Coturnix japonica: one gene and its partner. The protein of the gene in region 2 interacts with the protein of the main gene of each other region in a pairwise test. Links are inferred from orthologs where the notes say so. Each region holds a gene or a part of one and is shown on either strand. Other genes may lie near its edges.

Evidence for each region. The genes of interacting proteins can lie anywhere in the genome.
Region 1: the proteins of AIDA (region 2) and PINX1 interact in binary tests that used the Homo sapiens proteins (3 or more experiments, as listed by UniProt). The link is inferred for Coturnix japonica from reciprocal best matches to the Homo sapiens genes AIDA and PINX1.

Annotation. Positions count from the first base shown.
Region 1 is NC_029518.1:97,540,271-97,544,989, forward strand, and holds part of PINX1 (PIN2/TERF1-interacting telomerase inhibitor 1), read right to left. Parts: intron 3,665-4,719; coding exon 3,555-3,664; intron 1,053-3,554; coding exon 960-1,052; intron 59-959; coding exon 1-58. UniProt on the Homo sapiens protein: Microtubule-binding protein essential for faithful chromosome segregation. Mediates TRF1 and TERT accumulation in nucleolus and enhances TRF1 binding to telomeres. Inhibits telomerase activity. May inhibit cell proliferation and act as tumor suppressor.
Region 2 is NC_029518.1:15,668,919-15,674,104, forward strand, and holds the start of AIDA (axin interactor, dorsalization-associated protein), read left to right. Parts: upstream 1-1,430; 5' UTR 1,431-1,545; coding exon 1,546-1,655; intron 1,656-3,144; exon of another isoform or gene 3,145-3,159; coding exon of another isoform or gene 3,160-3,215; intron 3,216-3,970; coding exon 3,971-4,040; intron 4,041-5,186. UniProt on the Homo sapiens protein: Acts as a ventralizing factor during embryogenesis. Inhibits axin-mediated JNK activation by binding axin and disrupting axin homodimerization. This in turn antagonizes a Wnt/beta-catenin-independent dorsalization pathway activated by AXIN/JNK-signaling.

The sequences.
Region 1 (4,719 bases), about 82 Mb from region 2:
AATCATTCAGTTCAGCTAGAAGCTGGTTGAAGTCATCCTGATGAGCAATCCAGTTGTCCTGTAAATATCACCCACATGAATACAAAGCAACAGTTTACAGATGGAACAGAAGTTTCGCTAAAGCAGGTATTAAAAAACAATGCCCTCCAAGAAGTAACTTAATCACATATACTGGATTCTTAGTGGGAGGGACCCCCTGAAGCTCCACAGGTGGCATACAGTAACAACTTGCTGTAGTTACTCAGAAGCGCAGAACCGATAAGGGTTGTGTTTGTAAGCTTTTAAATAATGCTGAGCCGCTGTTGGCTCCACATGTCCCAGACTGCATGAGACTTTTTCAACAGTAGGCAGGAAATACGAGTGTGATTTTCCAGCAGTTACTTAAGTTGTTGATTCTGAGACAAGCACCTTTAATAGCACATTCTGCAACCTCTACATGTACCTGAAATCCAGTTAGCAAGGCAACTCCACCAGGGAGAGGGAAAGAAAACATAAAACTAAGCTAGGTACAAGATATGTGGAGGAAACAAGTATTTCATAAAATCGTAGAATGGCCTGAGTCGAAAAGGACCACAATGATCATCCGGTTCCAGCCCCCTGCTGTGTGCAGTGTCACCAACCAGCAGCCCAGGCTGCCCAGAGCCACATCCAGCCTGGCCTTGAATGCCTGCAGGGATGGGGCATCCACAGCCTCCTTGGGCAACCTGTTCCAGTGATTTAGAACAAAAACTCACTGAACAGCTCTGAGAATTCACCGTAACTTTCCCAAATAGAAATTTATTCCCCAACCACTGAGCAGGGCCAAACTAAATTCCAGGTCAAGAGAGTCTCTGCAGAGAAGTTCACACAGGTACATGCTGCCATTAGGTATGACAACAGATTTCACTAACATCCCATTACAAAAATTGTGCCTCACCTGAAAAGGAACCCACATCTCCTTACCTGGGTTTAGCACTCACCTCGTTCTTGATGGATGCTCCTAACCCCAGCATGTTGTTTTTCACTTGAACCTTGATGTGTTCTGTATTTCCTTGCTCCTGAGCTCCAAGACCCTAACGAGGATTGAAGAGTAAAAACATAAGGTTTTTTTTCCAGCAGTGACTAAGCAACTAGAGCTGCTGTACTGAAGACATTTTGCAGTGAAGTGTAGCAAGAACCCACAGGTTACTATTTATTTGCTTGCCTGCAACTGAACTCATTCACAAGCATTAGCATACATGAGATATTAAGTATTTTTAATTTACTACTTAGGCCTCCAGCAAAATACAATAAACACTAAAATAACATCATTAAGCAGTAGGTGATTAATCAGGAAGCCACCTGACATTCCTAGGCAAGTCCAAAGTGTTTTCAATTTTAAAACAAGACACTACATAAAAAGAACATGCCTCTTATCAAAACCACCTCCGCCATTGCGAAGGCAGTTGTGTAACAGCTACAAGACAGATGCCTCATGGAACTTAAAAAGCAGAATTAATTTATATTAAAGTGGGTGAGGGGAAGCGGGAGGATCAGACTGGAGCTAGCAGGTCATTAGGAACTTTTTCCATCTTGTTTACACTCGTAATTTGGTGAAGATACTGGGGCAAGCAAGTGTTGGTTTTGTCTATCCTGATTAAATGCAAGCATTCCAATATGGGAAACAAGCTCCAGACCCAGTATTATCTTTCTTAATTGTACAACCAGGGGAAAAAAAAAAAGACAAGGCATTTTGTTTTGAACATTGGTCCTGCTATCTGCTTTTCTCCCATCAGGCCATAACAATACAGGTCTGATGGAATGGTGGAACAAAGTCCTGTGGATAAAGCCTTTGCCTACGCAGTATGTGGAGCAACAAGGACTGTTTGAATAAGGCTGCTGCTATCACAGATCCTTCAGCCTTCTTTTTTGGTCAGTGGGGTGGAAGACTTACCTTGAAGCTCCCACTAACAAAAAAGTATGGAAACAAGCAGAGCACCTGGCTACACATCTCACCCTGACCCAATTCCAATACAACTAATAACAGGACTAACATAATCAGCTTAATTTCAGAGCACAGATGGGCTTTTACTCCTTACCTCGATCAAGCTACGGCTCCATTTGTCTGAGTTCCCAGCAGAAGAGGGTCATAAATCCCTCTAGTACAACTATAACTGTTGTAGAAGATTTAGTAGCTCATGTAGGAAATTTATTGTCAAGAAGATTGGGGGGAATGACAGCAAACACCACAAGGCCTTCCTTCCACACCCCAACACAATGTGCTCGTATCAGTTAAAGGCATTAACTATGTTGAGGAACTGGCAGCCTGAATAATAACCAGCACTCTTTCTACTCTGATTTGTATACCTATTTTAGACTTACGCATACAAAACAGCCACACTTACAACCTGACATAACTCAGTCCCACACTTTGCTAACAATTCATTCTAATGCCTAGTGAAAACACTGCCAGTTCCATGACTTCAGCAGCCTTTGAATCAGTATCACTGCTCATCATCTGTGAAATTAAAGGCAGGCAGAAGCCAGATCTATACTATGTTGGCTATGTTACCAACTGAGGTAGCAGCAGTAGGCTAAACTGAGAAACCCAAGGGCAGCCTTGTTTTTCCTCACTCTTAAGTTTTAATACATTCAAAGAACTGAGAACAGCCCTAATTTTGTTTATTTTAAAAGGGAGGAGATCAAGAAGAAGAATTTAATAAATAGTGTTGGAGAGGTTCTATGTGTTTGTTTCACTAAATATGCTTGATACACAGGCCCAAATCTCAGCTTTGCTGAGGCATCTTTGTGGAAGTTAAACTGCTTTTGAGTGGCAGTAGAAATATTTGCAGCTGTCTATGCTGACCTGGAGATTATTCTTAGCACCAGCAACCAGTCACCTCACACCACAGGTACATGCTGGAGCTGCAAGGGAATACAGCTCATGTAATGTTGCATTTTATACAAGGATCAGAAGTAACCTTTAAAAACAGATGAAAGCTGGATCAGCTGCCCAGAGAGGCTGTGGATGCCCCGTCCATCCCTGGAGGTGTTCAAGGCCAGGTTGGATGGGGCCCTGGGCAGCCTGGGCTGGTATTAAATGTGGAGGTTGGTGGCCCTGCCTGTGGTAGGGGGGCTGGAGCTTCGTGATCCTTGAGGTCCCTTCCAACCTGGGCCATTCTATGATTCTATGTGAAAAGCTGATTCTATGATAAAAGTAAGCATAAGCTAGCAAGTATCTTTGTAAGAAATTACAGAAATCTAACTTTGCTCAAATTCTCTGTGTTCTTAGCAGGCTTATGAGAATAAACCAAATAAAAATACTAGAGTAACAGAATGGCCTGTATTGAAGAGGATCATAAAGATCATTTAGTTTCAAACCCCTTGTCATGGGCAGGGTCACCAACCAGCAGACCAGGCTGCCCAGAGCCACATCCAGCCTGGTACAGCAGAACATCACAGCTGTTTTAAGCACTGGGACCAACATCAGCCCGGTAGCCCTCTACCCCTTATTTTTTTTGTTTCTTTTCCTAAAGCATTTTTAGTTCAGGAACAGCAGACACAACCTCAGAGCTGCACAGCTCTCCTGACCATACCTTTCCTTTGGACCAGCCCATCTTTTCCAGCATCTTCTGTCCAAATTTAGATTCATCTTTACTCCAGGCAGTGTTTCGTGGATCCACGGACCACTTCTGTCTTCTACGGGCTAAGTCAGAAAGGAAAAACATCAAACAGGCTCTATTTACATCTCCACGGTGTTCCGAGTATTTAATCAGCTCAAGAAAAGCCTTTCAACCCAAAGAAACTGAACTTATGCCACACCAATCACATATTAAGAGTTATTAAGTTATATTAAGTGTTAAGAGATGCAACCTAGAATCAAAGCTCCTTTGTGCTATGTATACCACTAATGAAACCACAGTCCCCCAGGTCCATGTGCGTGAGCTTGTCTGTATCATCAGGAATAGCTTCTTTGAAACCAAGGAAGAAAAGTTAGCACAGTTAACCAGCCACTAAGCGCGCATCTAAACACATGCAGGAAGAGAACAGAAATAAACAAGGCAAAGAATGGGAGACAGGAAGATTACAAACTTCATTAAACACCATGGGAAACGGTGGATCAAAAATGACCAATTAACCCAAGGCCACTGAGAGTCAGCAAGAAGCCAAGTCCACTGGGGCACTTCCAACATAACCAGGAAATCATCTCTTCCTAAAATGCAACACTTGGGATTTGGGCCAGAGGGATTGAATATAACAGGTACATTCAACTCATTGGCTGCTGGGCTTGGTTCAGAACTAACACTGGCAGAATGTAGGATGGCAGTGTTTTTTAACATACTTCTGAAACTCCAAATAAGTGCTGCAAGGCAGACCCACAAAAAAATAACAGCCTGATAAAGAGTTTCATAAAAGTTCATAAAAAGATTTTATGGTGTGTTAAATGACTTAGTGCTGTGAGAGGAATCGTAAAGCACTCAATTAGTTCACTTCTCTAAGGGAAAACGATGACCAGAACCATCCAATACATGCCCTGTCTATAGAGGTGCCACTGAAGACTGTGATTTTAAACAGACCCAAGCAAATCCAGGTTCCCTGCTGTGTTTCTGAGGCCAAACATTCTGGTTCCCTCAGGCAGAGTTTGCTCATGTGTTGCTGTGTTTGAAACACTGAATTAGGAATCTGGGACCATTAACATGTTCATCTTCCCTTGCACAAGATGCACATTAAGGACTCCAGTTTCCATTAATATATGAGGAA
Region 2 (5,186 bases):
ACAAATTAAAATAATTTGAAAAGTCCCATATATTATTACGCTAAATATACTTATTTCTATTTGAAACTCTAAACCTTCACCACCCATACGCTTAGTTTTAAAATTTCATTCTCTTGGAGCACCTGTTTTCTACGTGGCAACTATTTCTATGAGAGCAAAAAAAGCTATACCTTTGTTCTATATTACTGCATGCTTTTTTACTCAAAACAATTTTTACCTCCTGTGCAAGGTTAAGTATTTCCCACGTCATTTACAGGTTGTATGGGAACTGTTGGGTCATGGCCTGAACCACGGACTGAGTACCTGGGGAAAAGACCCAGTCAGCCCTGGGAGCACAGGTGAAGGTGTGACTGGAAGGGGTGGAGCCTGGCCACACCTCTCTTAGACCCCATTTAAGGTCTGACTGCCACTAGGGAAGGACACCTGGTTGGAGATTCCTTCCTTGTGGAGTTTTCCCTGCAGGCCTGAATCTTTAGAGGTGGGTGAATGCTTTTCCTTTGTAACACTTTGCATTGCACTGGTCCCTTTGATATTACGTCTCCTGTATCACCATTCCGCTGTGTTGATCTTTCTAGTTGTTACGCGGGTGTATCTCAATTCATTGAGGTCACTATATTGGAGGTGTTAAAGAGATGGGGATGCATTACACTAAAGGGTATGGGTTATAGGTTTTCAGGATCTAATAGGGTGAAGCCCTGAGCACCCTACTCTAACCCTACAGCCAGTGTTAGACTGGAAACACCCTCAGAACCCCTCCAACCTAAACCCCCTATGATCCTTTTTAGGGCTGTAAATTCCCTGTTCTAAAACACCGTGTAGCATAGCTGAAACCCGGGAGGCCTGCTGAAGAATCAACTTCTTACAGCGCCTGCTAGAGCCCGGGCCTTAGGGCATCACCAGGAAGTTCCTTGTCCCGACCTGCTCGTTGTTTACCTGGGGTGTCCCCCAACCCCACAGTGCCCGTTCCCAGGTGCACTGTCAGAGCAGGCAGCGCCCTGGCTCCCACCCCCCGCCCCTCAGACGCTCCGCTTATTGTTTACCGCCCCAACGCCCCCACAGCCGTAGTGCCGGCCAGGCCGCACGCTCCGGCAGCCGGCCCGCGCCGTACCAGCCCCACCGCCGCACCCGCTATAGGCTGACGAAGGGAGAGGGGCCTACGGGAGCCCCGCTACTCACCGGGACGCTTGTGCCGGGCGCTGCGGGGCCCAGAGGAGCGGCTCGATCCCCGCCCGGCGCTACAGCTCCGTCTCAGCTGCGGCAGCGCCCTGCCCGCTCACGTGCCCGCCGCCATGACGCGTATTGAGGCGGAACTGGCCTCACTCTGAGCGCTGTGCCTCGCTAGCGATGGCGCGGGCGGGCGCGGCCGGCGCAGCGTCCCTCGCTGGGCGGCGCTGGCGGGAGGCGGCTCCTCGTTTGGTTGTCGCGGCGGCTGGGCCGGGCCGGGCTGGGCTGGGCTGTGCCGGCGGCGGGCGTGGGGCTGGCGGGAGCGGCTGCCCGGCGCGGTGCCCCGGCCCGGGGTGAGCATGGTGCCCTAGTGCTGGGGCTATGTCGGAGGCGGCCCGGAGCCTCCTGCAGCGCTGGGGCGCCAGCTTCAGGAAAGGCACCGACTTCGACTCCTGGGGGCAGCTGGTGGAGGCGATCGACGAGTACCAGATGTGAGTGCGGGCCCGGGGAAGGCGCGGAGAAACGGGCGGGCGGCTCCTGCAGTGCTTCCCTACCGCCCGGCACCGCCGAGCCGGGCAGCCCGGGGCGGGGCGGGGCGGTCGGCTGCAGGGCCTATAGGCCGCGGCCACCCCCGGCCTTGCCGTCGGGGCCGTTATGTAACGCGGGGCCGCCCCGAGAGGCGAGGCGGGATGCGGGACCCCGGCTGAGGGGAGCGGGGGTGGCCGGGACCCGCCCTGCAGGAGCGAAGCCCCCTGGGTGCGGGTGGGCGCTGCTGCGGGGTTCCATGAGCGATGGCGGGAACCTGAGCGAGCAGCTGGGAGCTGAGGTTGTTGTGCTGGGTGTGTGGAAGAAGTCCCGAGCGTTCTCTCCCTGTAGAGTATCAGCCATAGGGGAACCGTCCGAGAAGTCTAATAGAGCTGCTCGGGGCTGGAGGTGCAGCTGCCCTGGCTCCTAACTGGGTGCCGATACCGGGTGGACGCTGCATCGTGAGGTGCTCATCTCCTCCGTGCAGTCCCTCAGCGGGTGGGATGATGGACACTCGGTTATCTGCTGTTTGCTGGTGGGCTGCAGCTCGGGAAAAGCTGTTACTGCACACATCTGCCCTTAGGTAGACATCCATGAGGAGTGCTCTGTGACCCTAACGCTGCAATGCCCCTAGGCAGTATTAGGGGTTAGTTTCCTTCAAGGAAATCCCCTCAGAACAGAAAGTCTTCAGGCTTCTCCTTCAGAGCTTGCTTTGCTGAGAAGTTCACTTAATGACTGCAGCCAGACCGGTGGAAGAGCTGAGGCATGGTTTTCATTCCCTTTCTCTTTCATCTGATAAGAACTGAGGTGATCTTGGTGCCTGTGCTTTATTCCAACATAGCAGCAGCATGATATATCTGTAAGAAAGCTCCTCTGGGTAGCACCATTGTGAGCTGCCCTTGTAAGCTTTACCACTGAGCCTCTGAATAGAGGAGCAGTCAGCAGATAAACTCAGTGGCCCCAGGAGGGAGAAGATCAAAGGATGACAGGGATTTCCTGGGGAGGAGCAGAACCTTTCCAGTCTGCTTATCCACTGCTCTTAGATGTAGCAGGTAGACCAACAACAGCTTTGATCCGTAGGATAGAAACCAGAGTTAAGAAGCATAGGGTGAGATACCAGCCTCTAGCTCTGGAGAAACATCCCATCGTGACTTCATGCTACTTGCTGCCTTTTTAAATGGAAGTTTGATCACGCTGGTGCAGCTGGTTTAGATGCTGTTAGCAACTGCCAGTGTAGGAAGAATGGTAATAAACTGTGATGAGCTTGCTTACACTGAGAAAGATCTTTCTAGTCTAAGTGAGTTCAATTCAGGGTTTTAATGGCTCCTGGCATAACTGCTCGCCTCCCTTGTCCAGGGGGCCTCCATCTGCTCAGGTCTGGAAGTTTCATGCCAAGATTGACCCACGCTCATGTGGGAGCCCTCAGCCACCAGCAGCACCTCCCACCATTGGACTATTGCCCACGCATCCATGGCAAGAAGATGGATTCCTTTAGGAGCACAAAATTACGAAGAGATTGTATTGAGGTGTCCACAGTGCCTGTTGCTGTCTTAGGTTTTCCCCTCAACTCCTCTCTCTCTCTTGCCCTTAAATATATGTATATATTCACAGAGAACAGCAACAATTGCAGTTTCCAATCGCATGGTTTCGCTTGTTTAATTTTCTCCTTCCTCCCTAGACGGAAACTGTAACTCTTCCCATAGATTCCCTCTAGCTTCCTTTCGCTTTCATGAACTGTTTGCTTGCTGTTACTTCCCAAACCCCTTGACACTGGGCTCTGTGGTGGTAATGGGTGGAGCTGCAGCTCTGCGTATGATGCTGACAGGCACAAATGGGAACTGCTGCACCCTGGGAGCTTCAGCCACAATGTCCCCATATCCCTCAGTGGGAGAGTGTGTGGCCATTGCCTGGGCTACCTGCTGCTCCTCTGTCTGCAGCCATTACTCTTGGCAGTCACATTCTCCATGAGAAACATAGCACTTGGATCTCAGTGGGTCCTTTCCACGGGCAGTGTAATTTATGATAGTTATAGAAGGGGCTGTTGGCTAGAAGGACCCTCATACCTTCTATTTTTTGACACACTCTAAGTAGCTTTTCCTGCATAATACTTTGTCTTCTGTTTGTTAGTTTGTATTTGGTGTGGCCTGCTGTGGCTATAGAAATCTTTGTGAAGAAGCTTCTTGGAGCAGCAGTCTGTGCCATGTTTTCTGGACACCGTGGCAGTGGTGATGGGGTTCTGTGCTGTCCTCTCACTGTAGAATTTTCTCTCCTTCTCCTCCAGATTAGCGAGACATCTCCAAAAAGAAGCTCAGTCTCAGCACAACAACTCAGAATTCACAGAAGATCAGAAGGTAAGCGTTGCTGTTGGTGTAGTCAAGGAATGTGTCTCGCAGTTGTTGTTTTTGTGTCTGGCAGACCTGAGCTTTGTGATACCTGTTTTCCTCTCTTAATATGCAATAACAGAGGCAGAGCCCAGTGCAGCTGAAACTGCTGCCGTCATTAGATGTGACAGATGCTCTGCTGTGTAATACTGAGCGTCTGATGTCTTACATGCTGGTCAGAGTCCTTCATAATCTGAGTGTTTCTTTTTTTCTGGGTGACCTTTTGATTACTTGCTTATACAACGTTAGCGTGATTTGTGTTATGAAGACTGAATGCAAAATGTCTTGAGCCGTAAATGTTGAGGGTGAGCATGGAGGATCTTAGCCTAACATGTAATGCCTGACTGGAAAGGATCATAGCTGCATATTCCTTACTAGTTTCAGTGTTATTTATAGCCCTTCAGATTATTGAGCTGTCTTTCCTCTTTCCTCCCTTCTCTCAGCTGAAAAGGCTGTTTTTTGTCTGAGTATTGTTGCAATTCTGTGACAGGTTTTAGGAGGAGTATGTGTGTTGAAGTCCAACACACACAAACATCTTCAGCAGAATACAAGACCTGGGGTATAATGGAGTCTGTGTTTGTTAACGCCTGTCCTGAAAACAAGCCCTGGCTACAGAAATTGCAGATTAACTTGATCATTTATCACTATGAAATACACCTCTATGTGCAGTCTGACAGTGGTCTGTAAATGTTTTCTTGATGTATACCATCAAAAAGAGCAAAGGACCGGCCTTTTCTATTGCCCTTCTGTGAAGCAGAGGATAAGGCTTAAACTGAGTCAGAATCTTGGAGCAGGGCTGGGAGCACCTTTCCCGAACTGGAGGATCCTTGTTAACATTGGGCAGATGCTCACTCATTCATTACTTCTGCACTCTCTCCCTTCCTGATATCTTTCTCCATAGTTCTTGCCTATTACCATTTTTACTGCACATTTCTCCTCTGTGGGGACTTTTGAAAATAGGATTGGTTCGTATCATTCACTCAGCATACAGGAATAGAGTTTAGTGCACTTCTGGGTTTTCAGTCAGTTTAGTTAACTAGAAGTATATCTCCTCTCTTGCTCCCTCTCAAAAATGCCCATAGCTGAGCAGCTAGTTATACTGAAATACATTCCTGT